4 linked regions of the Anolis sagrei genome follow. Each later gene encodes a partner of the first gene's protein in a complex. Links are inferred from orthologs where the notes say so. Each region holds a gene or a part of one and is shown on either strand. Other genes may lie near its edges. The genes, in order: GINS3, MCM5, GINS2 and CDC45.

Region 1 (7,794 bases):
TTATTATTATTATTATTATTATTAAATATTATTATTAAAACCGCTCTGAGTCCCCCTCGGCTTGAGAAAAGCGGCATACAAATACTGTAAATAATAATAATAAATATTATTATCCTGCAACTAAAGTGTCGTTCTACCTGCAGGATCGTCTGCGCGAGTTCTGCATTTTCAGGACTGTCAAAATTCAGCATCTGGGAGCCGAAGGCATAGTAGTAGGGCCCCAGCTTGTGCAGGTCCACCACGTTGGCGTCAGCACTGAAGACGGTCCGCCAGCTCTCCTTGTAAACAGCCGGCAGCTCCACCGAAATGATCCTCTGCTTGTTGTCGTAGAGGCCTTTGGCCAGCCACAGCGGCAGCTCCAGTTTTGTGCCCTGCAAGCCACAGGAAAGGGGAAAAGAGGCAGAAAAGTGAATACCATACTTCATCGCATAATAGTTGCACCCCCATTGGGGGGGGGGGGGGACAGCGGCAAAATTGTATTTTTATTTTCCTTGCATAATAGTCGCACCCCCATTTGGGGGGGGGGCAGCGGCAAAATTGTATTTTTATTTTCCTTGCATAATAGTCGCATCCCCATTTGGGGGCCCAGCAGCAAAATTGTATTTTTATTTTCCTTGCATAATAGTCACACCCCCATTTGGGGGGGGGGCAGTGGCAAAATTGTATTTTTATTTTCCTTGCATAATAGTTGCATCCCCATTTGGGGGGGGGAGAGGCAAAATTGTATTTTTATTTTCCTTGCATAATAGTTGCATCCCCATTTGGGGGGGGGGGGAGAGGCAAAATTGTATTTTTATTTTCCTTGCATAATAGTCGCACCCCCATTTGGGGGCCCAGCGACAAAATTGTATTTTTATTTTCCTTGCATAATAGTCGCATCACATTTGGGGGGGCAGCAGCAGCAAAATTGTATTTTTATTTTCCTTGCATAATAGTCGCACCCCCATTTGGGGGGGCAGCGGCAAAATTGTATTTTTATTTTCCTTGCATAATAGTCGCACCCCCATTTGGGGGCCCAGCGGCAAAATTGTATTTTTATTTTCCTTGCATAATAGTCACACCACCATTGGGGGGGGAGGCAGTGGCAAAATTATAATTATATTTTCCTTGCATAATAGTCGCATCCCCATTTGAGGGGGCAGCAGCAAAATTGTATTTTTATTTTCCTTGCATAACAGTTGCATCCCCATTTGGGGGGAGTGGCAAAATTGTATTTTTATTTTGCTTGCATAATAGTCGCACCCCCATTTTGTGGGGAATTGACAAGGGCAAATGCAGTAGTATTATCTGCTAGGATACGGAGCCCCCGGTGGCGCAGTGGGTTAAACCCCTGTGCCGGCAGGACTGAAGACTGACAGGTCACAGGTTCGAATCCGGGGAGAGCACGGATGAGCTCCCTCTATCAGCTCCAGCTCCTCATGAGAGAAGCCTCCCACAAGGATGATAAAACATAAAAACATCCGGACGTCCCCTGGGCAACGTCCTTACAGATGGCCAATTCTCTCACACCAAAAGCGACTTGCAGTTTCTCACATCACTCCTGACATGACCAAAAATAAATAAATCTGTGTTTCTCAGCCTGGGGGTCGAGACCCCTGGGGAGGTGCCAGAGGGGTCACCAAGGACTTTTCTGTTGGTCATGGGGGTCTCTGTGTGGGAAGTTTGGCCCAATTCTATCGTTAGTGAGGTTCAGAATGCTCTCTGACTGTAGCTGAACTATAACTCCCAGTAACAACAACTCTAAAATGTCAAGATCACATTTGGGCATATGGAGTATTCATGCCAAGTTTGGTCCAGATCCATCATTGTTTGAGTCCACAGTGCTCTCTGGATGTAGGTGAACTCAAGGTCAATGCCCACCAAACCCTTCCAGTAATTGCTGTTGGTCGTGCGAGTTCTGTGTGCCAAGATTTTTTTATTTTTTTATTATTTACTTTACTTATATACCGCTGTTCTCAGCGCGAAGGCGACTCACAGCGGTTCACAACCAATAAAAACAACAATAATTCAATGCAACATATATCAACAATTAACAACTTAACATATTACCCAATCAATAAACACTTACTACAATAACCGATCACAGTCGTCTCATTATCAAAAACATAATCCAGATTCGTCATCCATTGTTCCATTCCTATGTTCATTACCAATCACTGCACTAATTATTTGAACGCCTGCTCAAACAGCCAGGTCTTCACCTTTTTGCGGAATACCATTAGAGATGATGCTAGCCTAATGTCCGTAGGAAGGGCGTTCCACAGCCGAGGAGCCACCACCGAGAAGGCCCTATCTCTCGTCCCCGCCAGCCGAGCTTGAGAAGCAGGCGGGATCGAGAGCAGGGCCTGGTTCAATCCCGTCGTTGGTGGAGTTCGGAATGCTCTTTGATTTTAGGTGAACTATAAATCCTAGCAACTACAACTCCCAAATGACAAAATAAAAAAAAATTGGGTGATAGTCACTCCTTGTGTTGTGAGATGTTTTGTTGCCAAATTTGGTGTGATTTCGTTCATTGGTTCTGTTGTTTTTAAGGAACTCCTTATGCATTTATATATAGAGAGAGATATGATACAGATATTGTACTATGCGAATAATATAATATATGGTATGTATATATATCTTGTAAGCCTCTCTGAGTCCCCTTCAGGGTGAGAAAGGCGGCAGAGAAATGTCAATGAATGAATGAATGAATGGCTGTGGGTGTCTCCAGGGAGGACTTCCGGTGTGGCGCGCGGGGCCTGCCGGGAGTTGTAGTCCCGTGCTGTTCTCTGCTCACCTCAGGCAGGGCGTCGAGCGGGGCCTTTCCGAGGGCGAGGGCCAGGCGCGGGAGGGCGGCCTGGGCGCGGCAGGGCATCCGCTCGTGGGACATCAGCAGGTCCGGCAGCGAGAGGAAGCTCTCCTCGGGGCCCAGCCCCGGCTCCACCGCCGAGTAGGCCTCCGCCGACATGGCGCCTCAGTTTCAAATCCGCGCATGCGCAGACGCTTCTCCCGACGCCCCTCCCCTCTCGGCCCGCCAGAGCAAATGGATGGGGAAAGTGCGCACGCGCGAAGGTGCAGCGCGGGTTGAACTGCGCCTGCGCGAAAGCAGGGATGCCTTTGTTGGTGGGACTTCCAGTCCCAGAAGGCCGGGGAAGTGCACATGCGCGAATGTCCCGCACGGGTTGAACTGCGTGCGCTGAAGCTGGTATGCCTTTCTTTCTGGGACTTCCATTCTCAGAAGGCCGGGGAAGTGCGCACGCGCGAATGTCCCGCGCGGATTGAACTGCGCCTGCGCAAAAGCAGGGATGCCTTTCTGGGACTTCCATTCCCAGAAGGCAGGGGAAGTGCGCACGCGCGAATCTGCCGCGCGGGTTGAACTGCGCCTGCGCGGAAACAGGACTATCTTTCTTTCTGGGACTTCCACTCCCAGAAGCCTCAGCAACCTTAGCCAATGATCAGGGATTATGGGAAATGAAGTCCAAAAACACCTAGAGGGCCAAAGCTTGGGAACTATGTCTTCTAAGCCACATTGGCTGCTCTTTTAACCCATTCTTGACCACTCTGAGCTTCTCAAACTCATTCAGACTCTCTTCCCATGCAACATTCCCCTTTTTTTATTATTATTATAATATTATTATTTTATAGGAAGGCTAATGCTTGCAATAGGGACCCCTGAAATATATTAAATCTGGCATTGCATTGATGGAGTAATTGGATGCAACGTCCAACTTTGTTTCTGCAGAGAAACTAATGCTTCTGAGGTCAACATTGACACCGAAATGCAACACTGCCCGAGCTCTGCGAGTGCAGCATTCTTCCGAATGAAGCAGGGAGTGTTTGAGAACCGGGACATCTGTAGGGAGACCAAGGGGCTTGCTTATAAAGCTATTGTCCTTCCAACCCTGCTCTATGCCTGCAAAACGTGGACCGTCTACAGACGTCAACATTGAGACTGAAATACAACACCGCCTGAACTCTGCGAGTGCAGCATTCTTCCGAATGAAGCAGAGAGTGTTTGAGGACTGGGACATCTGAAGGGAGACCAAGGGAGTTGTTTATAAAGCTATTGTCCTCCTAACCCTGCTCTACGCCTCTGAAACGTGGACTGTCTACAGATGTCAACACTGACACCGAAATACAACACCGCCTGAGCTCTGCGAGTGCAGCATTCCTCCGAATGAAGCAGAGAGTGTTTGAGGACCGGGACATCCGTAGGGAGACCAAGGGGCTTGTCTATCAAGCCATTGTCCTCCCAACCCTGCTATACGCCTGCGAAACGTGGACTGTCTACAGACGTCACATGCAACTCCTGGAACGATTCCATCAGCGTTGACTCCGGAAGATCCTGCAAATCTCTTGGGAAGACAAGTGGTGGAAGAAGAAGCAAAGACCACCAGCATCAAAGTGATGGTCCTCCGCCATCAACTCCGCTGGACAGGCCACGTTGTCCGGATGCCTGACCACCGTCTTCCAAAGCAGTTGCTCTACTCCAAACTCAAGAATGGAAAATGGAATCTTTGTGGACAGGAAAAGAGATTGAAAGATGGGCTCAAAGCCAACCTTAAAAACTCCGGCATAGACACTGAGAACTGGGAAGCCTTGAGTGCTCCAGTTGGAGGTCAGCTGTGACCAGCAGTGCTGTAGAATTCAAAGAGGCACGAATGGAGGGAGAAAGAGAAAAACGTGGACTCCTCCTTTTTTCTACAGAGGCTTGAGGCATTGTCTGGGTTCCTAGGCCCAAGCAGCCCAAACACAGGCCTCCTTAGCACCTTGCATTCAGCAATATGTTGATACCACCAGTACTCTTGATGCTGGTTTGCTGTGTGTACGGAAGGCGCTACCATGGCGACCACAATGACCCAACAGTAGCAGAATGTCCAGGGATGGATCCTGGGAGGTGACCATTCCCTGGTTCTGCCTAGCCATAGCCGGACAGAGCAGGCCTCCCAAGTGTACCATGGCTGGACCGCAGAGGTGCCGTTGGTCAGTGGTCAGCCGGCTCCTCTTCCTCCTGCGCTGGACCTCCCTCCTACCACCTGCTTTAGCCGGTGAGTTCCGATCAAGGGCTGACACGTATTGGGGAGGACATTGAATTTCACCAGTACATTTCTCTATTTCCCTTTATCTATTCATTTGTGTATTTCTCTCTCTCTCTCTATCCATCCTTCTATCTCTCTTTCTTTCAATCTATATCCCCATCCATCCATTCAATACATTTTTTCTCTCCATCTCTCTCTTCACCTGTGTCTCTATCTCCCCATCCATTCATCCACCAGTGCATTTCTCTTTCTCCATCTATCTATTCACCCCTTCCTTCCTTCTTTCCTTCCTTCATTCCTTTTCTTTCTTTCTTCTTATCCATTCTCCCACCAATACATTTCTCTCTTCCTCCATCTCTTTCTTCACCTGTGTCTTTCTCTATCACCGACCTATTTATCCACCAACCCATCTATCTGACAATAATTGATCTGTTCTCCAATATATTTCTTTATCTTTTCAATTGAATCTTTATCTATCCATCTATCCATCCACCCACCAATCCATCTCTATCTGTTCACCTGTATCTTTATCTATCTATCTATCTATCTATCCATCCACCAAACCATCTCTATCTCTTCACCTGTATCTTTATCTTATCTATCTATCTATCTATCTATCTATCTATCTATCTATCTATCCATCCACCAAACCATCTCTATCTCTTCACCTGTATCTTTATCTATCTATCTATCTATCTATCTATCTATCTATCCATCCACCAAACCATCTCTATCTCTTCACCTGTATCTTTATCTATCTATCTATCTATCTATCTATCCATCCACCAAACCATCTCTATCTCTTCACCTGTATCTTTATCTTATCTATCTATCTATCTATCTATCTATCTATCCATCCATCCACCCACCAATCCATCTCTATCTGTTCACCTGTATCTTTATCTATCTATCTATCTATCTATCTATCTATCTATCCATCCACCAAACCATCTCTATCTCTTCACCTGTATCTTTATCTTATCTATCTATCTATCTATCTATCCATCCATCCACCCACCAATCCATCTCTATCTGTTCACCTGTATCTTTATCTATCTATCTATCTATCCATCCACCAAACCATCTCTATCTCTTCACCTGTATCTTTATCTTATCTATCTATCTATCTATCTATCCATCCATCCACCCACCAATCCATCTCTATCTGTTCACCTGTATCTTTCTTTATCTATCTATCTATCTATCCATCCATCCACCAAACCATCTTTATCTCTTCACCTGTATCTTTATCTATCTATCTATCCATCTATCCATCCATCCATCCATCCACCAAACCATCTCTATCTCTTCACCTGTATCTTTATCTATCTATCCATCCATCCATCCATCCGTCCACCAAACCATCTCTATCTGTTCACCTGTATCTCTATCCATCCATCCATCCATCCATCCATCCATCCACCAAACCATCTCTATCTCTTCACCTGTATCTTTATCTATCTATCCATCCATCCACCAAACCATCTTTATCTCTTCACCTGTATCTTTATCTATCCATCTATCCATCCATCCATCCATCCACCAAACCATCTCTATCTCTTCACCTGTATCTTTATCTATCTATCCATCCATCCGTCCACCAAACCATCTCTATCTGTTCACCTGTATCTCTATCCATCCATCCATCCATCCATCCACCAAACCATCTCTATCTCTTCACCTGTATCTTTATCTATCTATCCATCCATCCATCCATCCATCCAACAAACCATCTCTATCTCTTCACCTGTATCTTTATCTATCTATCTGTCTATCTATCTATCTTATCTACCCATCCATCCACCGATCCCTCTCTTTATCTATTTACCTGTCTTTATCTACCCATCCATTCACCAATACATTTCTCTTTTTCTCCATCTCTCTTTTCTCTTTGTCTCTCTCTCTCTTTAACAATAGATCCATCCATTTATTTCTCTATTGATTCACCTATGTCTTTATCTATCTGTCTGTCTGTTCGTCCATCTACCAATCCATTTCTCTTTATCTATTCACCATCTCTCTATCTCTTCCCCTGTGTCTTTCTCTATCTATCTTATCTATCTATCTATCCATCCATCCATCTCTTTCTTTATCTATTCACCTGCCTTTATCTACCCATCCATTCACCAATACATTTCTCTTTTCCTCCATCTCTCTTTTCTCTTCATCTCTCTCTCCTTAACAATAGATCCATCCATTCATTCACCAATCCATTTATTTCTCTATCAATTCACCTGTGTCTTTCTCTATCCGTCTGTCCATCCATCTATCTACTCATCCATCCATTCACCAATCCATTTCTCTTTATCTATTCACCATCTATCTCTTTACCTGTGTCTCTATCTATCTATCTATCTATCTATCTATCTATCTATCTATCTACCCATCCATCCACCCACCAATCAATTTCTCTTTCTTTATCTATTCACCTGTCTTTATCCATCTATCAATCCATCCATTCACCAATAAATACATTTACCTTTCTCCATCTCTCTTATCTCTTCACCTGAACCTCTCTCTCTCCCCCCGCAATCCATCTATCCATTCATTCACCAACTCCTTTATTGATTTCTATATCTATTTACCTGTATCTTTATCTATCTGTCTACACATCTGTCAACCCATCCATCCACTAATCCATTTCCCTTTACCTAGTCACCATCTCTATCTGTTCACCTGTATCTTTCTCTATCTGTCTGTCTGTCTATCTATCTGTCTATCTACCCATCCATCCATCCACCGCTCCCTCTCTTTATCTATTCACCTGTCTTTATCT
Region 2 (7,933 bases), on another chromosome or scaffold:
CAGTGCAGAGGCTACTACAGCTTCATAAATGAATTGCTCAGGAAGGGATTCGGTTTAAGTAATATGGAAGATCAAGGGCCTCAAAAACAGCACTGGGTCCTGAATGTGTCATTTGAATGGCACTTTGACCACAATATCTCTCTTTCAGGCAGCATTTCTCATCCCATCCCACACATACCAACTGGAGGTGTTCTGCAGGCTGCTTGTACAGATAGTCTGCTAGGTCTTCATCAAAGCTTGCCAAGTCTTCCATCTCCACTTCAATCCAGTACTGGCCCAGATTGTAATGCCGTTTGAGTTCATCTCTAAGACAGAGTGAGAACAGCAGGAGTAGTGAGGGCATGTGAGACTGAAAACAAGCAGCTTACAGTCAAGAACACACTTGTTAGAGCACTTTTACCAAGAAAGATAAATTACACTAACACAGCCATATTTAATCCCAACTAGCAGTACATTTATATTTATATAATTATAGAGATGGAAGGGACCTTGCAGGCCATCCAGTCCAACCCCCTGCCAAGAAGCAGGAAAATCACATTCAAAGGAGCCCCGACAGACAGCCATCTAGCCTCTGTTTAAAAGCCTCCAAAGAAGGAGTCTCCACCACACTCCGGGGCAGAGAGCTCTCACAGTTAGGAAGTTCTTCCTCATGTTCAGGTGGAATCTACTTTCCTCTGGTTTAAAGCCATTGTTCTCCATCCTAGTCTCCAGGGCAGCAGAAAACAGGCTTGCTCCCTCCCCCCTATGACTTCTCCTCACATATTTATACATGGCCTTCATCATGTCTCATCTCAGCCTTCACTTCTGCAGGCTAAACATGCCCAGCTCTTTAAGCCGCTCCTCATACGGCTTGTTCTCCAGACCCTTGATCGTTTAGTCACCCTCCTTTGGACGCATGCCAGCTTGTCAATATCTCCCTTTAATTGTGGTGTCCAGAATTGGACACAGTATTCCAGGTGTGATCTTACCAAGGCAGAATAGAGGGGTAAGCCGACTTCCGAGGATCTAGACGCTATGCGCCTATTTATGCAGGCCAAAATTCCATTGGTTTTTTAAGCTGCTCCATGGCATTGTTGGCTTGTGTTTAACTTGTTGTCCACGAGGACTCCAAGATCTATTTCAAACATACTGCTATCAAGGCCAATCAACTATGAAGTGTAGCAAGAAAAGTGATTTTATTTGGGAGGAAAGGGCACCTGTATTTGAAATTGAAGCCAGTGCGGTCTGTTCCAACCCGATACTGTCTCAAGAACTCTTTGAAACGCTTCTGCAACTGGGACTTCCGGATCTGGCCCTCATCTCCCCCTGTGTCACCAAAGCTGTCGCTGTAGAAAATGCCGGGATCATCAAAGCCAGACATGGCGTCTCACTCTGCAGGGAAAAACAGAGATAAAGAAAGGATCTGAAAGGATGCAGAAATATATATAACCATCATCCAGGACAAAGGACCTCATCACAATGAATATGCTTTACATCCGGTTTCTGCCTCCTGCAGAATTCTGGGGCTTGTAGTTTAAGTGAGGCTGTTAAAGGCTCCTCCCTAAACTACAAAGCCCATAATTATGAAGGAGGCAGAAACTGGATTTAAAGTGGATTCATTCTCTAGTGTGATGAAGTAGAAAGTCTAAATGTTTAAAGTGCATCTCAACATGTAGAAAGCTAGTGCTATGCAAACTCTGCATAAATCAATTTTCTCTTCTTTTACTTAGGATGTCCTTTCCCCTTCCCTCCAGTTAAATGAAGGCTTGTTTTTCTTAAAGTGCATCTACACTGCAGAATTAATGCAGTTTGACACTACTTTAACTGCCATCGTTCAGTACTTTGGAATCTTGGGAGCTGTAGTTTTATTAGGTCTCTAGCCTTCTCTTCCAAAGAGTACATGCTCTGTTTACATCCCGTATAGATTACTGCAACACACTCTATGTGGTGTTGCCTTTGAAGAGTGTTTGGAAGCTTCAACTGGTCTAGCGAGCAGCAGCCAGGTTGCTCACTCGAGCGGCACTCAGGGAGCACACAACCCCATGTTGTGTCACCTTCACTGGCTCCCAGTTTGCTACCGAGCACAATTCAAAGTGCTGGCTTTGGCCTATAAAGTCCTAAACAGTTCTGGCCCAAGCTACCTGTCAGAACATATCATTTCCTACAAACCAGGGCGGGGTACAAGTATGGCAAATCTATAGAAATAAAAATGTAATGTTCGTTTGTGGGATTAACATAACTCAAAAACCACTGGGCGAATTGACACCAAATTTGGACACAACACACCTTTCAGGCCAACGAGTGACCATCACTCATAAAAACACTAAAAAATACAGCAGAAGAGACTTCAAAAGCCAAAACAAATAAAAATGCATTACTATGCACGCAAAAACCAAATACATACACATATATGCACACACAAAACACATATACACAGACTGGGCCACAGCAACGCGTGGCAGGGGACAGCTAGTAAATAAATAAAAGAAATAAATACTAAACTACAACTCCCAGAATGACATAACATTGAGCCATGGCAATTAAAAGTGATGTCAAACTACATTATTCTACTGCCGATGGATCCCAGGACAGTGTTTCCCAGACTGGATTTCCTGATGTTTTGGACTTCATCTCCCATAAATCCTGTCTTTGTCTAAGCTGTTTGGGAATTATAGGAGTTTAAAGTCCAAAACTGGTGGCGCACCAAAGTTTGGTAAACACTGGATGAGGGGAAATATCCTCAAGGCTGGAAACTCAGCTCAAGAAGCCATCTTTAGCCCGGCTCTATAGCACTTCAGTAATTAGTTAGGTTAGATAATTAGAAACTTCATTAGGAAGTGAATAGTTGTCAAAAACTAGTTACAAAGACAAGGAAAAAGGACTATTCCTCGTCTAACTCCCAGCAAAGACTAGTTACTGCACCAACCTTTTCCTTTTCCTTTGGAATTTCTATTTTCCACTTAAGCAGACCTTTCTTCAGTGCCGAGCAAAAAAGGAGAAGGCGGAGAGAGATTTTCGCGGGAAAACACTTCGCCCCGCCTTCTGACGGTCGCACGCCGACTGCTCCCATTGGTTACAAAGAATTCAGCCATGCGCGATTGGCTTTGCTAAAATTTGCCGAACCCCGCCCTTTCTGTGCTTGGATTTCCATATTTTCAATCCGATTGGAGGAGGCAGAAAGAAGAGCCCGCCCTTGCTTCGCCTGACTTTTCCTGGAACTTTATTTTAGCGCCAGAAAGCCTCTCGCACAGAACTTAAGAAGAGGCTTAAGATGGAGGCTGTAGGCGGAAGTGGGAGGAGCTAAAGGCATGTTCAGCTGTATCTTCTTATTGGCAATGGGAAGTTAGCTGTCAGACACACAGCCAATGTTAAAAATATCATAAAATACTCAAAATAGTTTTGTGCATGAAGCAAGTTTGTGTCCACTGAAGTAAAGGTGTTGTTTCTAATATGAGCCAAGAAGGCCATAGGAAAGTCATTGTTTCATCATATTAAGGTAAAGGTAAAGGTAGTCCCCTGACATTAAGTCCAGTCATGTCTGACTCTGGGGTGTGGTGCTCATCTCCATTTCTAAGACGAAGAGCCAGCGTTGTCCGTAGACACCTCCAAGGTCATGTGGCCGGCATGACTGCATGGAGCACCGTTACCTTCCCGCCAGAGCAGTACCTATTGATCTACTCACATTTGCATGTTTTTGAACTGCTAGGTTGGCAGAAGCTAGGGCTGACAGCGGAAGCTCACGCCGCTCCCCGGAATCGAACCTGCAACCTTTTGATCAACAAGCTCAGCAGCTCAGCGCTTTAACCCACTGGGCCACCCGGGTTATCCATCATATTATCGACTATGAAAGGTTATATCAGGTCCTAGCTGTCCCCTGCCACGTGTTGCTGTGGCCCAGTCTGGTAATCTGGAAAATAAAGAAATGAGAAAGTCTTGGTTTCTAATATATGTAATTTCTTGATGCTTGTGAGTAAACAGTATTTCTTGTTGTTTCTTTGTCAGTGTTGATGTAAAGATTGTCTGGTTTGCCTACCCTGAAACATGCAGCATGCTCTTTAGGGGTTCCTTTCAAATCTATGATACTATATCTTTCTGTGCATGAATCATATATATCTATCGTAGTGTCTAGATCTAGGGAAGTAATGCTACCCCTCTATTCCGCTTTGGTTAGACCACACCTGGAATATTGTGTCCAATTCTGGGCACCACAATTGAAGAGAGACAAGCTGGAATGTGTCCAGAGGAGGGCGACTAAAATGATCAAGGGTCTGGAGAACAAGCCCTATGAGGAGCGGCTTAAGGAGCTGGGCATGTTTAGCCTGAAGAAGAGAAGGCTGAGAGGAGATATGATAGCCATGTACAAATATGTGAGAGGAAGCCACAGGGAGGAGGGAGCAAGCTTGTTTTCTGCTTCCTTGGAGACTAGGACGCAGAACAATGGCTTCAAACTACAAGAGAGGAGATTCCATCTGAACACGAGGAAGAACTTCCTGACTGTGAGAGCCGTTCAGCAGTGGAACTCACTGCCCCGGAGTGTGGTGGAGGCTCCTGCTTTAGAAGCTTTTAAACAGGCTGGATGGCCATCTGTCAGGGGTGATTTGAATGCAATATTCCTGCTTCTTGGCAGCGGGGTGGACTGGATGGCCCATGAGGTCTTTTCCAACTCTTTGATTCTATGATTCTATGATTCTATCTATATCCATGGCTGGAAGGCTCTTTGTCAGGAGGGCTTTGATTACATTTTCTTGTCCTGGTGAAGGGAGTTGGACTGGATGGCCTTAAGTATTTTCTGTGGTCATGGGGGTTCTGTGTGGGAAGTTTGCCCCAATTCTGTCGTTGGTGGGGCTCAGAATGCTCTGATTGTAGATGAATTGAAAATCCCAGTAACTACCAATCCCAAATGTCAAGGTCTATTTCCTCCAAACTTCATCTGTGTTCATATTTGGGCATATGGAATATTTGTGCCAAGTTTGGTCCAGATCCATCATTGTTTGAATCCACAGAGCTCTCTGGATGTAGGTGAACTACAACTCCCAAACTCACAAATTTTGCATTTTGTCTGTTTGTTTGCTTTGTTCTGTTAGAAATGTAATATAATTTGACTGGTTGTCCTGACACGACAAATAACTCCCAAACTCAAGGTCAACACCCACCAAACCCTTCTAGTGTTTTCTGTTGGTCATGGGAGTCCTGTATGCCATGTTTGGTTCAATTCCATAATTGGCGGAGTTCAGAATGCTCTTTGATTGTAGGTGTACTATAAATCCCAGCAACTACAACTCCCAAATGACAACATCAATTTCTTTGAGTGAAGAACATACATTGGGATGTTAGGTGTATGCTGTCCAAATTTGGTGTCAATTGGCCCACTGGTTTTCGAGTTCTGTTAATCCCACGAACTAACATTACATTTTTATTTATATAGATGGGCAAACCCAGGGCCCTTGGGCTGTTCTCAGCCCCTCCTCTCTCTCACCATCCTATCCTTCCTTCTCTCCTTCCTTCCTTCCCTTCTTTATTTTATTTTGCTGAAAATTAAATTTTATTTTTAACAACCATTCAAGCAAGCAATAAATTAAGAGTCACACCAAATTGCTAATTTTCCAATATATATCATTTGGCATTGCTGAAATTAAAATACTGAATAAATACAGGAATTAATATAAAATATTGCATAAATAACATGAAATAATATTCACTTTATAAGGTCACAATTGGACCGTACGACACTAGTTCGTATGTCTAGCGAAGTGCTTTCCAGTTTCAAAAGTAGAACTTCTGAATATTATATCAATAGTAGTCAATTGAATTTAAGTTCATTTGTAAGACTTCCCTTCTTTATTTACCCCCTCTTTCCCCCTCCCATAAGGATGGGAAAAAGTGCATCATGAGGATGAATCTGTAATTGGGACAGAAATGGGGGGTTTGTGTTCATTCGTCAAAGGCACATCAGAAGAGCTGCTTGCATAGGGGCTTGCCTAATCTCACTAGGTAGCAAGTTCCAAAGCCAGGGGGCCACAATGGAGAAAGCTCTTTCTGTGGCTCTAGAGACCAGGGCACAAGGGAGCAATGGTTTCAAATGGTAGGGAAAGAGATTCGACTGAAAAGTTTAGAAAGAACTTCCTGAGAGTAAAAACTGTTGGAGTGTGGCATAGGCGTCCTTGAAGTGTGGTGGAGTCTCCTTCTCTGGAGGCTTTTCCACAGAGGCTGTCTATCAGGAGTGCTTTGAGTGTGCCTTCCTCCATAGCAGAGGGTTGGACACGCTGGCCCTTGGGGGTCTCTTCCAGCTCTAGGATTACATATCAAGAGAAAGCAATACAGCAGTGGTTCTCAACCTGGGGTCCCCAGATGTTTGTGGCCTTCAACTCCCAGAAATCCTAACAGCTGGTAAACTGGTTGGAATTTCTGGGAGGTGTAGGCCAAAAACATCTGGGGACCCCAGGTTGAGAACCACTGCAATACAGGGTCTAATGCAGTGGTTCTCAATCTGTGGGTCCCCAGGTGTTTGGGACTTCAACTCCCAGAAATCCTAGCTAATTTATCAGCTGTTTCTGGGAGTTGAAGGCCAAAACATCTGGGGACCTACAGATTGAGAACCATTTATCTAATGGATATACTTTTTCTCTCTCATCCACCATTTCCTCCTGGGATCCAAATGTTTCCTGTCTTTTCTCCACTTTCTGCTTCTGAAAGAGAAGAGGAAGGGGGGAAAGGGCAGGGAGGGGACTTGGGGAGAATCTCCTACCTCCCAGCCCACCCACTCCCCTCTGGCCTGCTACGTGGCCCCCAAGCTAGAAAGTTTGTCCATGCCTGGATTATATGCATGAAACTCTTAGACCATTCAAAAGTGCCATGGAAATAAGAGGTAATTGTAATCTTGTGCAGTTCATGTAATGTTACCATTGTGCCCACAGGTGGAGCTATGTTCTCACTCTAAAGAAGGGCCTGGTTAACATAAGAGTTGACTCAAAGACATGTGGGAAGGAATTGCCAGGCTAGAATTGATATGAGACATAGAACCACCTGCAATGTGTGTATGTTGGGGTTCACAGTAAATATTGAAGTTTGATAGCATCCAGGAGAAAGTGAAATTACTTTAGGGATTGTGGGAGTTGAAGACCAAAACACCCAGAGGGCCGAAGTTTGTCCATGCCAGGTTTAGATACACCCTAAGTTTTTCTCCAAGGCTATACAGTTACTTTATAATGATGCAAGAATTCAGTTGTGTGTTGCCTTGTTTGCGTCTCTCTTTAGGAAAAGTTACCATGAGTTGTCACTTTTTAACTTCAGCAACTACTTGAGTTTCAACATACATTTTTTATAAAAAAAACTCAAAGATACTGTTTTGTTACTTTGTGGCAGCATATAATAGCCACCTTGTTGTTGCTGGTGCTGTTGAGAAATGTGTTTCTGCCAGTTCTTCCCTCTGAATGTAGCCTATAACACCAGGTATGCTTTGGGGCCTCCCACCCAAGTACTAACCAAGACTAGTCCTGCCCAGATTCTAAGCTCAGATGGCATCTAATGCCTTTAGGATGTTTAGGCTTTTATTTACCAAACCGATTTCTTTAAAGATCACAGGTGGTTTGTGAAGCAACCAACATGGCATCTTTTCCCTAGTATACCTGTTCCATCCTAGCTTTCCAGGGATTTGTTTCCAACTGGAGTAGATATAGAACCATAGAATTGGAAGAGACCTCATGGACCATCCAGTCCAGCCCTCTGCCAAGAAGCAGGAAAATCACATTCAAAGCACCCCCAACAGATGGCCATCCAGCCTCTGTTTGAAAGCCTCCAAAGAAGGAGCCCCTACCACACTCCAGGGCAGAGAGTTCCACTGCTGAACAGCTCTCAATGTCAGGAAGTTTTTCCTCATGTTCGGGGGAATCTCCTTTCCTGTAGTTTGAAGCCATTATTTTGCATCCTAGTCTCCAGGGCAGCAGAAAACAAGTTT
Region 3 (7,504 bases), about 23 Mb from region 1:
ATTTGTGTAGCGTTTGGTCCAGATCCATCATTGTTTGAGTCCACAGTGATCTCTGGATGTAGGTGAACTACAACTCCAAAACCAAAGAACACTGCCCACCAAACTCTTCCAGTGTTTTCTGTTGGTCATGGGAGAACGGTGTGCCACATTTGGTTGAATTCCATCGTTGGTGGGGTTCACAGTGCTCTTTGATTGTAGGTGAACTATAAATCCTAGAAACTACAATTCCCAAATGACAAAATCAATTTTTTGAGTGAAGGACATACATTGGGTTGTTAGGTGTCTTGTGTCCAAATTTGGTGTCAATTCGTCCAGTGGGTTTTGAGTTCTGTTAATCCCACAAACGAACATTACATTTTTATTTATATAGATTTTACTGATGATGTTGTATAATGTTTTAAAATGATTTTATTGTGAATTGTAATTTTTATGGTATTTATGCTGTTAGCATCCTCTGATGCTTATGTGAGGCCGCGCTGAATCCCCCTTGTGGGGAGAAGGGCGGGATATAAATATATGAAATAAATAAATAAATAGGTTAACAATCATATACATAACAAAAAACTAGGATAGGGGGCTTGCAGAAGGCTGCTATTTCCAACAATAGGTCCATACAGCTTTCATACAATTCCATTCAATCCATACATCATTTATTCATCACACTACCGGCTGTTAGGAATAGTGGGAGTCAGGGGCGGCTCGCGAAGTAAGCGGTCGCAGAACACTTTTTTTTGCCAGGGGTGCAGAGGCGCCTCTGTAAATGCCCCTCGACCGCCACTTGAGGAGTGCCCCCTCAGCTCACAACAGCCCTAGCAGTCCGGGGGAGCCTCGGCTTTCTTGCCTCGCTGCCGGGCGATCCTCTTCCCAAAGGGGCCGGGCCCTTGAGCCTCGCCTAGCCCCTCTCGTTCCTGCTCTACCCAGCCACCGGGTGCGTGAGCAGAGCCGGTGCTCAATCGTTCTCTGCATTCGATCCCTTCCCCGATCCCCCGGCGCTCCACCCGCCTCCTCTCCTCTCCCCAATCCACGGGTGGGCCAAGGGGCGGAGCCGCCTCGTCTGGCCCGCTTCGGGTCCGGAGGCGTGTCTGAAGACCCCAGCGTGCACACCAAAAGTCGCCTCTTCTCTTGACTTTCTCTTCAGCCATTGGGACCAAGAGAGAGAGAGAGAGAGCCCCACTGGCTGGAGGTATCTCTTACCTCCACTCCCTCCTTTGTTTTTGCGCCTACCTTCAGGAAAGGTAGGCATCTCCACCTCTCTCTCTCTTGGTTCCAATGGCTGAGGAGAAAGTCAGGAGAAGAGGTGACTTTTGGTGCACACGCCGGGGTCTTCAGGCACGCCTCCAGACCCAAAGCGGGCCAGGCAAGGAAGCAAGTGCGGCAAGTGTAGTTACTGGGATGTATAGTTCACCTACAATCAAAGAGCATTCTGAACTCCACCAATGATGAAATTGAACCAAATATGGCACACAGAACTCCCACGACGAACAGAATATATATATCAATGATTGGTTGGGGGGGACGGGGGACGGCGCCAAAATACTGTTTGCTTACTGTTGAAAATTACCTAGGGCCGCCTCTGGTGGGAGTTAAAGTCCAAAACACCTGGAGGACTGACATCTGCCCATGACTGGAATAGACACACCCTAAGACAGGAGAAAAGGTCTTCCTTACCCACATCCATCCATTCGGGAGGGATCAAGCGGCACTTCTGCCTCTGTTTTAGGTTGATAGCCAGCCAGAGAGGAACTTGCACAGGAAGCCCAGGATTGAAGGGACCTAGGTCTCCCTACAAAAGGGAAAGCATGAAGAAGTCACTTTAGGTCTGGTTCCGGCATCGTCCTGGAATGTGCAGCTGTTTTCCAGGGATTCAAGATATGAATTACAAATCTTGCATAAGGGACAAGTCTTCCTCCGGCAGGTTCTCCCTCATGCTCTTTCTGTACTACGCATAGGCAATCTTGGACTCTCCAGGTGCTTTGGACTTCAAAAGCTGTAGGCTGTTAGGAATTGTGGGAGTTGAAGTCCAAAACACCTGGAGGGTCCAAGTTTGCCCATGCCTATTCTATACCTCATTATCAACCCCAGAACTTGGGAGTTACTTTTTGTGCACTACAGCTGCCATTCCGGAGCCAGCTAGTATAGTTTCTGAGCAGCAGCAAAAGCTGGATAGAGTCCAGATTGGACTACTGTAATGCGCTCTACGTGGGGCTGCCCTTGAAAACGGCCCGGAAATTCCAACTGGTCCCAATGGGCGGCAGCCAGGTTGTTAACTGCTGCTCCTTACAGGGAGAGGTCAACCCTCCTGTTTAAGGAGCTCCACTGGCTGCCATTCATTTTCCGGTCCCAATTCAAGGTGCAGGTGCTTACCTACAAAGCCCTAAACGGCTTGGGACCCGTCTACCTGCTTTACCGCATCTCTGTATACGAACCCACATGATCTTTTCGATCATCTGGAGAGGCCCTTCTCACGTCGCAAGCGCGATTGGTGGGGACGAGGGACAGGGCCTTCTCTGTGGTGGCCCCCCGACTCTGGAACTTTCTCCCCAAGCTGCAGTCTGCCAAAATTAGCTCTGGCAAAGCTCTGGGTGGCTTTTAACACTTCCTAAACCCCTTTCTGGGGATGATGGGAGCTGCATTCTGCCAAAATTAGCTCTGGCAAAGCTCTGGGGGCCTTTTAACACTCCCTAAACCCCTGTCTGGGGATGATGGGAGATGCAGTTTGCCAAAATTAGCTCTGGCAAAGCTCTGGGGGGCTTTTAACGCTTCCTACACCACTTTCTGGGGATGATGGGAGCTGCAGTCTGCCAATATTAGCTCAAGCCAAGCTCTGGGGGGCTTTTAACACTTCCTAAATTCCTCGTCGCCTCACTCACCCCAATGAGGTAGATCCGGTCCAGGCTGAAGTTGGGGATGATGGTGACCTGCTCTTGCTCGGCCAGGAACTCCACTTCCGCGGCCTCCATGGCAAAATGCAGCCTCAACTCAGCCTCCTGGGGCATCTCCGCTTCCTATTGGTCGGAAACGCGAGCAATCATTTCCGTAGCCCAATGAAACCCCCCGCTTTGGTCCCGCGCACCTGCTATTGGTTGGGAAACTCAAGCCAACCCCGCCCACCGCGAATTGGTTTCTTTTCTTTCCCGCGCTAATTCCAAGCCTGAGAAAGCCGTACATCCTACTGGTTGGGAATAACGTGATTGACTACTTTTCTATCCAATGAAAAGCCTGGGTTTTCCTCAAGCGCGATTTTTATTGGTAGAAAACAAGAGCTAAATCCCGCCCACTGCTCCACCCGCTGCTTTTAGCTTATATTGAAAGCCTCCCGCTTTTCCTGGCGTTTCCTATTGGATGGGAAGAGAAAGTACCGCCCACTACCCACTCTTAACCCAATGAGAAGCTCAATGTTTTGCATATCTCCTCCTACAGCAGACAATCATAGCTGCCATTGGTTGAGAGGCAGAGAAACAGGGAAGACCCCGCCCACTAATGCTTAACTTATGTTGTCTTATTTTCTCGCATGGAATTTAGCCCCGCCTACGAGCGATGTCTATTGGTTGGAGGGTCTCTCGCCCCGTCTCCTGATTGGCTCATTCCTTGGAGGCTTGCTGTGATTGGGTAACGCTATATTTTGAAGCTGTGTTGCACTTTATTGGCTCTAGAGGTGATTAGTCTGTATTTCGGATGCCTCTAAAAATAGATAGATAGATAGATAGATAGATAGATAGATAGATAGATAGATAGATAGATAGATAGATAGATAGATAGATAGATAGAATTAAATATAAATAAATATAAATAAATATAAATAATATAAATATAAATAAATATTAATAAATAAATATTAATAAATAATAAATATAATATAAAATAAAAATTTAAAAAATATAAAATATAAAATAAGATTTAAATTTAAATTAAATTAAATATAAAATAGTATCAAATAAAATAATAAAATATAAAATAAAATATCTTCTATACACACAATAAAAGAGAAAATCTGTATGTGTTTGTATGCGACTGGGGTGTCCACTAACACAGGCAAGGTCCAGCCTCAGCAAACTATAGCTCCCACTACTCAGGAGACATCAAAGGCCAATGACATTGAAGGTTATAGTGAGTACCATCAACATGTCCAAGAGCCCTGCCAATGTCCTCCACAAACACCATCCTGTCCCTCACCCAAATGAAGGCTATCATACAAGGAGAATTTGCTCCTAGATTTTATGTGTTTCCTCCACCACAGACATCCCAGTTTTTCTGACTCTCTCCACTGATGTGGAAATTGCATGACCCCCTCCCCCACTGCCTTTCCCTTAACCCTTCCCTATTCTTTACTATTGGCCCAATTCTATCATTGGTGGGATTCAGATTCCCAAACGTCAAGGTCTATTTTCCCCAAACTCCACCAGTGTTCACATTTAGCCATACTGACCATTCACGCCAAGTTTGGTTCAGTTGAATCCAGACAAGACAGAGGTCCTCCTGGTCAGTCGCAAGGCCGAACAGGGTATAGGGTCGTAACCTGTGCTGGATGGGGTCACACTCCCCTTGAAGGCACAGGTTTGCAGCTTGGGAGTTCTCCTGGATTCATCACTGAGCCTGGAATCCCAGGTCTCGGCGGTGGCCAGGGGAGCGTTCACACAATTAAAACTTGTGTGCCAGCTGCACCCGTACCTTGGGAAGTCAGACTTGGCCACGGTGGTCCACGCTCTCGTTACATCTAGAATAGACTACTGCAACACACTCCATGTGGGGTTGCCTTTGAAGACTGCTCGGAAGCTTCAAATAGTCCAACGAGAGGCAGCCAGGTTAATAACTGGGGTGGCATACAGGGAGCATACAACTCCCATGTTACGCCAACTCCACTGGCTGCCAGTTTACTACCAGGCACAATTCAAAGTGCTGGCTTTGGCCTTTAAAGCCCTAAACGGCCCTGGCCCAAATTACCTGTCCAAACGCATCTCCCTCTACCATCGCAGAGATTAAGATCCTCCGGGGAGGCCCTGCTTTCCGTCCCGCCATTGTCAAAGGCGCGATTGGTGGGGACAAGGGACAGGGCCTTCTCGGTGATTGCTCCCCAGCTATGGAACTCCCTTCCTGGTGAGATCAGGTCGGCCTCTCCCTCCTGTCCTTTAAAAGGATGGTAAAAACTTGGCTGTGGGACCAAGCTTTCGGGACAGGACAATGAAGCGACAATGGGAAAGATGACAGAGCCAATTGGATTTGATGCGGATGGCTAGGACGGTTTTAAATTGTGTTATTTTAAATGGTGTATTTTAATATTTAGATAAATGTTTTTTAATGTTTATGTATTGTACCCAGGCATTGAATGTTTGCCATGTATATGCTGTGCTCCGCTCTGAGTCCCCTTCGGGGTGAGAAGGGCGGAATATAAGTGTTTTAAATAAATCAATCAATAACCCACTGTGCCACCGGGGGCTCCACCTCTGCTGCTAAGAGTAAAGTTTTTATGTTCCTTTTTCCCTCTTGTTTGTGTGTCTTTTGCATGGGACTTGGCTAAAACACGCTTTGTGCAACACGGCCTTCTTGGTGGTGGGCCTCCGCCTGTGAACTCACTCCCCAGTGAAATTAGGTTGGTGCCATCTCTCCTTTCCTTCAGGAAAAAGCTCAAATCGTGGTTGTGGGACCAGGCATTTGGACAGCAGGCTTAGAACGGAAAACAGAATGTTGGTGGACAAGAAAAGAGATTTAAAGACGGGCTCAAAGCCAACCTTAAAAACTCCGGCATAGACACTGAGAACTGGGCAGCCCTGGCCCTTGACTGCTCCAGCTGGAGGTCAACTGTGACCAGCAGTGCTGCAGAATTTGAAGAGGGCGAAAGGGAGACGCGTGCCAAGAGGAAGGCGCGTCAAGCCAACCCCGACTGAGACCGCCTTCCGCCTGGAAACCAATGCCCTCAGTGCGGAAGAAGATGCAGAGCAAGAATAGGGCTCCACAGCCACATACGGACCCACAAGAACACTGGAAGACAATCCTCCTCGGAAAACGAGGGATCGCCTAAGTAAGTGAACTGATAATGAACTAAGTCCCTGAATGTTGAATCTATTTTGGATGTGCCCATATTATTGTTAATAATGTTTTAACTGCCTATTTATATTTAATGTTTTAATCAATGTTTTAATCGTGTTCTCTTGCTATATTGTGTGTTGGCATCGAATTGTTGCCGGCGTAAGCCGCCCTGAGTCCCCCCTTGGGGATTGAGAATTGTTTGAAATAAATAAAATAAAATAAAAATTCTCAATCAGTTGGCATGATGTCTGTTGCAGTTAACCTACAACCTTATGCATTTTGTGCAATTTTACAAAATGACATTTTAAAATACCCCGGGCAACGCCAGGGACCCGTTAGTAAATAAATAAAATAATATAAAATAATAAAATATTTCACAAAAAAACAGGACATTCTAAATGCATAACAAATCATGATGCTTTATAAATATTCCCAAGACTTGGAAAACATTATTATTTCCAATGACAATAAAACATGCCAGTCCAGCAATGGATAGAATCAATGCTAAGGTTGGAATCAAACTTTCAGGCTTTTTTTTTAGGAGGGGGCAAATCTAGCAGAAATATAATTGGGGAGAAATGGCCAAAGAGAGTGCAAGGATTTCAATTCTTATACAAAAAAAAGTGACATAGGAAACCGCATTCAGTTTGATAGTGATGGATCAAGTATACAGTAATCTGGATTGTTGTGAGTTTTCCAGTCTGTATGGCCATATTCTGGAAGCATTCTCTCCTGATGTTTCATCTGCATCTACGGCAGGCATCCTCAGAGGTTGTGAGGTCCTCTAAAGAGGAGGTCCTCTAAAGATGCCCACCATAGATGCAGGCAAAACATCAGGAGAGAATGCTTCTGGAACATGGCCATACAGCCTGGAAAACGCACAACCCAATGATTCTGGCTATGAAAGCCTTCAACAATACATTATACAGTAATCTGATGCTCATTCCAGCCATCATTCCATCTGCAGCAATAATGCCTAATACAAAGAATGTACGTTTTGTCCATGGCGGTTGGTTAAGCCTGAGAAGATGTTGAGGTTTCAAAGGATCTTTATGGCTAGTTGAGATATTTATTCCCTGATATTGAGCTGAAACGAAGGGATGGACAGCATCTCATTCAAACAAATGTCAACATAACATTTGCTTCATTTTCACACAGGTCGTATGATAGACTTGTCATCCCATAATAATAATGACACAATTGTTTTCTGTCGTCCGTTGCAGGTAGGATCGCATCTCTTCAAAGAGAAATAGTTCGTGCTTGGGATAATAATGCAGCCCTTTCTTCGGGGTGTGAATGCGTCTCTTCCTGTCGAACACACATTGTCATATTGGATGTGGCCAGTTACATTGAGAAGCTCTAGAACCCTTTTCAACTTTTCTCTTTGTGTGTGGATATGTGTGTATAGAGATATATCTGTCTTGGCTCAGATGTCTTCATGCCCTGCAATGGTTTCCGATTTGAGCAAGACAGTTCCAGG
Region 4 (7,546 bases), on another chromosome or scaffold:
AAATAATATCCCACAAAAGCTGACTGGCACAACCTGGAGATCACAACCAGACACAGTGAAGACACCTGCCCTTGTGTTTTGCTACTCTGCCACTGAATACGTATGCCTAGTGTGGAATATGTTAAAACAGTGGATGTGAGTCTTAATGAGACATACCACATTACCACAAGATGTCTATGCCCTACACCACTGGAGAAACTATACTATTTAGCTGGTATTGCACCACCTGACATCTGTTGGGAAGTAGCAGCCAATAATGAAAGGACCAAGGCAGTGACATCCCTGGCCCATCTTCTGTACAGATACCAGCCAGCATACCAATGCATTAAATCAAGAAATAGCTTTCTAAGATCTACAGACGCACTCACAGGAACACCTGAGAAAGCAAGAGTTGAAAAGTGGCAGGCTAAAACCCAGAACCTCAATCAGTGGCTGAGACTGGATGAGAGATTCCCTCCTGGGCACACAGAAGACTAGGCGACTTGAAAGGCGCTGAACAGACTGCACTCTGGCACCACGAGATGCAGAGCCAATCTTAAGAAATGGGGCCATGAAGTTGAATCCACAACATGCAAGTGTGGAGAAGAACAAACCATAGATCACTGACTACAATGCAGTCTGTGCCCCACCACATGTTCTGGAAATGACAACCTTCTTCAAGCCTTCTCTAGTAATGTTTATCTATGAACCTGTTGCTTACTGTTTGTATGTATGTTCTGGGCATGTAGCTTCATTTACTCTATGGTTCCTAGAAAAGGGCTGCAAACCACATTATCACTATAGCAAAGAAACAGACTACTTCATGACTACAGACTATTTCAGACCTCAGATCACACACTTGCTTGCTGTTTTTGCTGTAAGATTGTCCTGGCCGATTGGACTAAGGTATGCTGAATGAATGAAGGTTGTGAGTAAACCAAATATGTTATTTTTATCAAAGTCTACTTAATTTTTGTCTTTTGAGTGCATGATATAAAACAAGTTGTTTTATGGGAGAGTATATATATATATGGACAACTAAAAACACTTCTAAAGTTCTGCTGTTTTATGAACTGGCAAAAATATCTATTTTCCTAACAGATCAGAGATAACAGGTTATTCGGTCTAACAGCTGCAATCATTGCCTAGCACAATTACATCTGGTTGTACACCACAAGAGAAGATTCTAAACAAAGGGATTTTTGGCTCTTCCCAAAAGGTCATGCTTTTTTAAAGTTATGATCTCCAAATGGTGTTTTCCAAAAACATGCACCTTCTTACAGTGAAACCAGAGGCTCTCCAAGTGGCCATCTTCTGGTGAAATGAAATCTTGTATAATGCCAAGTTTTTAACTTTGTGTTTTTAATTTAAAATACATTATAACTGTATTCTCAATTCACTTCTGACACAATAAATAAAAATAAATAGCCAGGCAGAAAGGCACACTCATAGCAGCCCTGGATGGCCACCCAGCCTTAGTTCAAAAATCTCCAGAGAAGGAGACTCCAATGGATTCCCAAGCAGTCTATATTTCTCTAGAGAACCCCAAAGGGCATCCAGTCCAACCCCCTTCAGCCAGGCAGGAGGACACCATCAAAGCATGCCTGAGAGATGGCCATCCAGGCTCTGTTGAAAAGCCTCCACTTCAATCCCTACAGAAGTGGAGTGCTGGTGTTATTCAAGTGTGGGAACTGCTAAAACTTTGATCATTCGCAGTTTGTTGATTGAGTGGCAGTAATGAGCACTACAATGGGTAAGTTTCTAATTAGGACAAGAAAATGGTTGCCCCGAGTCCCTCGCAGCTTCTGAGAGTGGGAGTCCCCCTGAGGGAGCTCCCTGGGCTCCTGAGAGCGGGCGGAGGCCTTCCTCCTCCATCATGGCCGCGCCTCAAAGAGGGAGCGGCGGCAGACTCCCGGAGAAAAGCTCCCGCTCACCTGGTTCACAACCACCTCGTAGAACTCTTTGCGGAAGTCCGTTAAGAACATGCTCAAAGGCCGAAGAACCCGCTGACAGGAAGGCGGCAATGGCGTCGGGCGACAAAACTCCTCGGGAAGCTGTCTTCCCCGCTCAAAGGAAGGCGCCAAAACCTTTCCCTTTCCCTATTGGCCGCCACGCTCCGGGCCTCGACCAATGGGCTGTCTCCTCTCTCTCTCTCTTTCCGTGATCTTCATTGGACAAGTTCGAAGCGGGCCCGCCCCGGTACCTGACACCAATCACCACCTGGGCATAGTCAGCCGGAACATTTGCTCAGTCGCCGCACAACAGCCAAGGGCCCTTGACTTCGGCCCCTTCCACACAGCTGAATCCAATCATCTCCTTTGAACTGGGATATATGGCAGTGTGGGCTCAGATAACCCAGATCAAAGCAGATATTATGGGATTTTCTGCATTGATATTCTGGATTATGTGGCTGTGTGGAAGGGCCCTGAGTTCTCGGAGCCCACACTGCTAGATATTCCAGGGCCCTTCCACACTGCCCCTATATCCCAGGATCTGATCCCAGATTATCTGTTTCTCCCAGGTTATCTGGCAGTGGGGCCGCATATACTCCACTTGGAAACAGGTAATCTGGGGTCAGATCCTGGAATAAAGGGCAGCCTGGAAGAACCCCCAGTTTCGAGCAGGAAATGTAGGATTTGATTCCGCGGATTAGGAGTGACGCGGAGCACTTTCCTCTCTCACGGAGGAGGGGGGGGGAAATAATGGCGACTCACAGCCGGAAGTGATGAGACTCCTTCGGGGACTGAGATGACTTGGCGGCGAGGCATAGGGGCGGGTCGGCCCGGCCCGCTCAGCTCAGCTCAGCTCAGGTGAAGAAGACCCAAGCCCAACCTATGTTGTCCTCAGAGGAGTTGCCCGAAACCCCGCCCCTTTTGCTTCCAAGGCGGAAGAGGCCTCGAAGCGCATTCTGGGACATGTAGTTACGAATTCCAAAACACCACTTTGCAAGGCCTTGACGGCCTTCGATGTCTTCCTAAACATTCCTTCGAAAGTGAAGGCGTTTTCGCGGGTCTTTCATGTGGAGCCGGAGTTGTTGAAGGTGTCCCTGGCGGTGAGGCGAGCGACAAGCGGCGGCGCGGAGGCCTTGGTCGGGTCCGAAGCAAGAGAGGCAAAGGAGGAACTCTAGGCCGCCATGGTAAGGGCTTTGAGGCCTAGGCCCTGAGGCTTTTCCGGAGCCTCCCTGCCCCGTCGCCTGCATTGTGACTTCAGAACTGGCTTGGGAGGGGGCGGCGGCTCTGGGATAGGCCTCCTGCTGAGAAAAGTGAAGGAAGCCGCCATTGCTGCCGCCCCCTCGGCCTCTGCCGCCCGAGGCTGCCTTGGGGAGACTTGGCTTTGCTTGGGAGCCACAGTGGAGGGCAGGACAGGGCTCCTGTGGTTGAAGAAGCCTTGTTTCTGGTGACAGGGACATTGGTGGGGTCTTCTTGACTCTTCTTCTTACTCTTTGGGGGGTGGAGGCAGCCTCCATCGCAAGCCTTGTGTTCTTGACAGGACTCTGGGGATCAAGGCCTACTCTAGATTCTTTATATCCTGCATTATCTCTCCATACAGAGACTCAAAGGGACTCACAATACAAAACATGACAACTTTAAATATACAATAACAAAACAGTATATCATATATTATTATAGATGATAAGTTGTAATTATATTTAATATATTAGAATCAAATGACTAACAGTAGTATTTAGCAGCCATTAGTATTTAATTGGTATTAGATGTCTGGATGGCCATCTGTCAGGGATGTTTTGAATGCTATTTTCCTGCTTCTTGGCAGGGGATTGGACTGGATGGCCCACAGGGTCTCTTCCAACTCTATGATTCTATGATATTGTATTATTTGAAACACAACAAGATCAGTCCACAGCAGACAGTCTGCAGACTGTTGTATTGGATCACACGTCGAACACTTCCCAAGTGTTTAGGAATGTGTGATGTATCGGCAAGTAATGCGTGCAGATCCCAGTAAGGTGGCCTTCTGCAGCTGGCAGATGGTAATTTTGTCAGCGCCGATTGTGTTTAAGTGCATTACATAATTAATTACATTATTAATTACATTATTATTATTATTAAGTGTATTACGTTATTATTATTATCACAGCTACATCATGTCTCCTGCAGCATCACTCTGGAGCCCCTCAATATATATAATATTATAATATGTAGAAATAATTACATTGTAATGTAATAATACTTTAAAATGCTATAATATAATATATTGTATATTGTATATACTAAAACTTATAATATAGTACAATGTATTGTAAAATACCAATAGTATAATATACTGATAGTGTATTATATTGTGGTATAATCATGTAGTACGATATAATTATATAATAAGTCTGTATTATATAGTGCATGTAATATTACTAATAATACTGCAGCATAGTGGTACAGTACAATATAATGATGTATAATACTAATATTGTGCTATGCTAATAAAATTATATATATGTAATAATATAATAATACTCTATAGGCCAGACCTGGACCAACTTTTGCTCTCCCTCCCTCCAGGTGTAGTTTTATGAGGCATCCACATTCTTTGGGAGAGAAGGCTCAAGACCTTGGAAAATTACAGCCGCCATGACTTCATAGCATTGAACCAAAGCAATTAAAATGCATTCATACTACAGCATAGATGCACCCCAAGGGTTTCCTCTCAGTCGCTGGAAGCTTTGGTGTCCTAACACTTTTGCTTTGAAAGAAGGAATTCTAAACAGGCAGCAACAGTAATGCACACCTTTTTTGTCCAAATGACAGTGTGCTGCCAGCAAATACTTTTTTTATTTCAGGGTTTTGAAAATTGAGGTGCGCATTAGGGTCGATGGCGCATTAGACTCACATCAATACAGTATATAAACTCATGTACAAGTCTATAGGCTCATGTATAAGTCTAGAAATTGGAGCTAGAACATGGAACCAAAAACTGTGGTCCCTTGGTAGCATCATCATACATATTTGGATGCCAAAAGGAACCTGGCTTTGAGTCCTAGGCCTCTTTGTTTGAAAAGATAGCCTGAGATAATAGAAGGCAGTTTCACATGTATCCATATACTTACTTTTACTATGTTTGGCAACTATAAACTCATATATAGACTCATGTATAAGTCTATATATAATGTATACATCTAGAAATTTTGAGCCATATTATTGACACTAAAAAATTGGATTGCTCGGTGGCAGAGGACATGTTTTCTTGTTAGTAGTATTACTATTCATATACTTATTGTATCTTTGGGAATTATAGACTCATTTATAGACTTATGTGTATCTCTATACATTTTTAATTATTATGTGTATCCATATAGTATGTTTGAGAACTATACATTGATGTATTCATCTAGAAATTTGAGCCGGAACATCAACTCCAAAAACCTGGGTCGGCTTATCCACAGGTCTGTGTACATACTGTAACTCTGATCAAGACAGGAACCTCCCCCTTCTTTGAGTAAGATGGCAAAAGGCAAACACTTGGTCCAACTCAGGGGAACTTCAAAGAATCACCAGTCTCCTGTACTCTCGGCTGCCAAGCTGCTTCTAGACTTACTGAATGTCCTGCAGGGGAAAATAGTAGCGGCAGCACTGGCGCTTTCCCCTCTCTACAGAATAACCCTCAACTTACCCATGGGTCATATCAAAATCCATAATTTTTACCCTCAAACATGTCCTTGACTTATACATGAGTATATACAGTGTATGTATGTGTGTATATACATACAGATACTTGCACACACATGTATGTATGTATATGCACGCACATATATTTTCTTTATAAAATGCAAGTGTAAATAAAAGTACAGTTTCTAAATTCCAGCTGGGTTACAAGAACATCAAATGGGGAAAATGACATTCCTCAGGTAAGGCATAAGGTTGTTATCACTCCACATGTTTAGAGCACTTTGATTCCTCTTTGGCAACTTCCTTTGGAATGCAAAGGCTTGCTTTTTAGTAAGACCTGAGAGCTCTCCAGCTGAGGTTTCTCAATGCCCCTCCTTCAACTGCAAATCACATCCTTCTGTATGATATTAACATGGCAGTTAAGGTGGAATAATCTCACAATAACAGTGGGATGTGATAGGAATCTTCTAAAGGAGTGGGATAAACATTTCCAACTCTCAACCTCAGGAGTTGTTGGGAGTTGTAATTTTGGGGTAGCATGAGCACTCCTGCAGAGAAGGTAAAAGAGCTTGCAAAACAACAACTTCTGTGATTTCATAGCATTGAGACAGGGTAATTCAGGTGGAGTCAAACTGCATTAATTCTACAGTGTGGCTGCATCCCTTGCTTGGCCATGGAACCCCAAAGGGAGACCTTGGGCAATTTGTGCTTTCTCAATGTAAGAGGAAGGCAATGGTCAACCCTCTGAACTAAGAAAATCCAATTTGTCCAATGTTGGAAATGACTTGAAGGCACACAACAATGCTAAATATGCAATATTGATTCGCCGTCTGCTGGTTTGAGCCTCACATCAACCTCATGAAAGAAGGATGTCCAATTAAGCTTTATCTGGATGGAAAACTGTTAGCATCCCCCTCCAATTTATTTATTTATTTATTTACTTCATTTATATACCGCTTTTCTCAGCCCTCGGGTGACTCAAAGCGGTTAACAATAGCAAAAATTCAATGCATAACATCATAAAACAGTTAAAAAATGAATACAATAATAACATAATAAACAGTTAAACATCAATATAACGTCTCATTAACGTCTCAAGTAAAATCACAATCCAATCTCATCCGTTGTTCTGTATTCCTATGTTCATTACACTGCCTATTCAAATGCCTGCTCGAACAACCAGGTCTTCACTTTCCTCCGAAATGCCAATAGGGAGGGGGCCTACTACTACAACAATGTGTTGGACTACAACTCCCAGAAGCCCGCCTGTCAATGGCCATGTTAAGGAATTGTGGGGGTTATAGCCTGAGACATTTTCGGGGTCAAAAGTTCTCTCTTTCTGTCTCAGTATCTTGACCACTTTGGCTTGTCGTGTTCTGTGTAAAGGCCACCCACGTCTTCGAATGCCTTGGCTTATAACTTATTTTGTTCTCCCCAGTTTTCTTTCAACATGTTTGATCATCCGATTCCCCGAGTCTTCCAGAACCGTTTCTCAACTCAATACCGTTGTTTCTCAGTGTCAATGCTTGCTGGGCCTAATGACCGATCCGATGTGGAGAAAGGAGGGAAAAGTATGTGTTGGTTTTTCTTTGGGATGCTCTCTGGAGTGGTCTTCTCTTATGGGACCTAAAATAACAATGAGCTGCAAAGCATTTTTGTCACCTTTGTGGTTACTTTGGGAAGAAGGAGCGGACTGAAAGACATATAGACTGCCTGCCATCTCTGCGGGGGATACGTGAAAAGGTGGATAATAGTGAGCCCTAAAGGACAGGGACTTTTGCCCCAAGACTAGTATAGAGTTTTTTTCCCTCTTTTTACAATATCTTAGACAAGGGAGTATACCATATTATATACAAACCAACAGTAAAAGAAAAATAAATCTATGACATCTTTAAGCATATTTATCATTTTTAAACTTTCCATTATAACTTATACTTCATATACCT

What was found.
Region 2: GINS3 (region 1) and MCM5 share a complex: the UniProt entries of both Homo sapiens proteins name them as parts of the CMG helicase complex. The link is inferred for Anolis sagrei from reciprocal best matches to the Homo sapiens genes GINS3 and MCM5.
Region 3: the proteins of GINS3 (region 1) and GINS2 are in contact, whole or in part, in a crystal structure (PDB 2E9X), measured with the Homo sapiens proteins. The link is inferred for Anolis sagrei from reciprocal best matches to the Homo sapiens genes GINS3 and GINS2. Residues at the interface, in NP_073607.2 of Homo sapiens: Leu13, Gly14, Tyr117, Ser121, Leu124, Asn131, Ala132, Ser135, Gln136, Leu138, Leu139, Gln140, Phe142, Ile143, Phe146, Arg147, Ile149, Met150, Asp151, Ser153, Gln154, Ala156, Met171, Gly174, Leu175, Thr178, Gly179, Gly182, Leu183, Asp185; in NP_057179.1 of Homo sapiens: Asp2, Ala3, Ala4, Glu7, Met93, Glu94, Lys97, Asn101, Trp121, Ile125, Arg129, Val130, Ala132, Asp133, Val136, Arg137, Gln139, Met151, Thr155, Ser156, Thr158, Phe159, Leu160, Gln162, Ala163, His166, Met167, Lys169, Leu170, Arg171.
Region 4: GINS3 (region 1) and CDC45 share a complex: the UniProt entries of both Homo sapiens proteins name them as parts of the CMG helicase complex. The link is inferred for Anolis sagrei from reciprocal best matches to the Homo sapiens genes GINS3 and CDC45.

Annotation. Positions count from the first base shown.
Region 1 is NC_090028.1:1,445,587-1,453,380, reverse strand, and holds the start of GINS3 (DNA replication complex GINS protein PSF3), read right to left. Parts: upstream 3,002-7,794; 5' UTR 2,948-3,001; coding exon 2,777-2,947; intron 372-2,776; coding exon 138-371; intron 1-137. Other genes in the region: PRSS54 (inactive serine protease 54), read left to right, coding at 4,853-5,027. UniProt on the Homo sapiens protein: Required for correct functioning of the GINS complex, a complex that plays an essential role in the initiation of DNA replication, and progression of DNA replication forks.
Region 2 is NC_090025.1:167,318,922-167,326,854, forward strand, and holds the start of MCM5 (DNA replication licensing factor MCM5), read right to left. Parts: upstream 3,015-7,933; 5' UTR 2,906-3,014; intron 1,372-2,905; 5' UTR 1,361-1,371; coding exon 1,197-1,360; intron 306-1,196; coding exon 179-305; intron 1-178. UniProt on the Homo sapiens protein: Acts as a component of the MCM2-7 complex (MCM complex) which is the replicative helicase essential for 'once per cell cycle' DNA replication initiation and elongation in eukaryotic cells.
Region 3 is NC_090028.1:24,665,266-24,672,769, reverse strand, and holds the start of GINS2 (DNA replication complex GINS protein PSF2), read right to left. Parts: upstream 3,009-7,504; 5' UTR 2,997-3,008; coding exon 2,871-2,996; intron 1,784-2,870; coding exon 1,669-1,783; intron 1-1,668. UniProt on the Homo sapiens protein: Required for correct functioning of the GINS complex, a complex that plays an essential role in the initiation of DNA replication, and progression of DNA replication forks.
Region 4 is NC_090034.1:34,186,382-34,193,927, reverse strand, and holds the start of CDC45 (cell division control protein 45 homolog), read right to left. Parts: upstream 3,002-7,546; 5' UTR 2,748-3,001; coding exon 2,694-2,747; intron 2,653-2,693; exon of another isoform or gene 1,965-2,652; coding exon of another isoform or gene 1,914-1,964; intron 1-1,913. Other genes in the region: UFD1 (ubiquitin recognition factor in ER-associated degradation protein 1), read left to right, coding at 3,113-3,115, 7,039-7,171. UniProt on the Homo sapiens protein: Required for initiation of chromosomal DNA replication. Core component of CDC45-MCM-GINS (CMG) helicase, the molecular machine that unwinds template DNA during replication, and around which the replisome is built.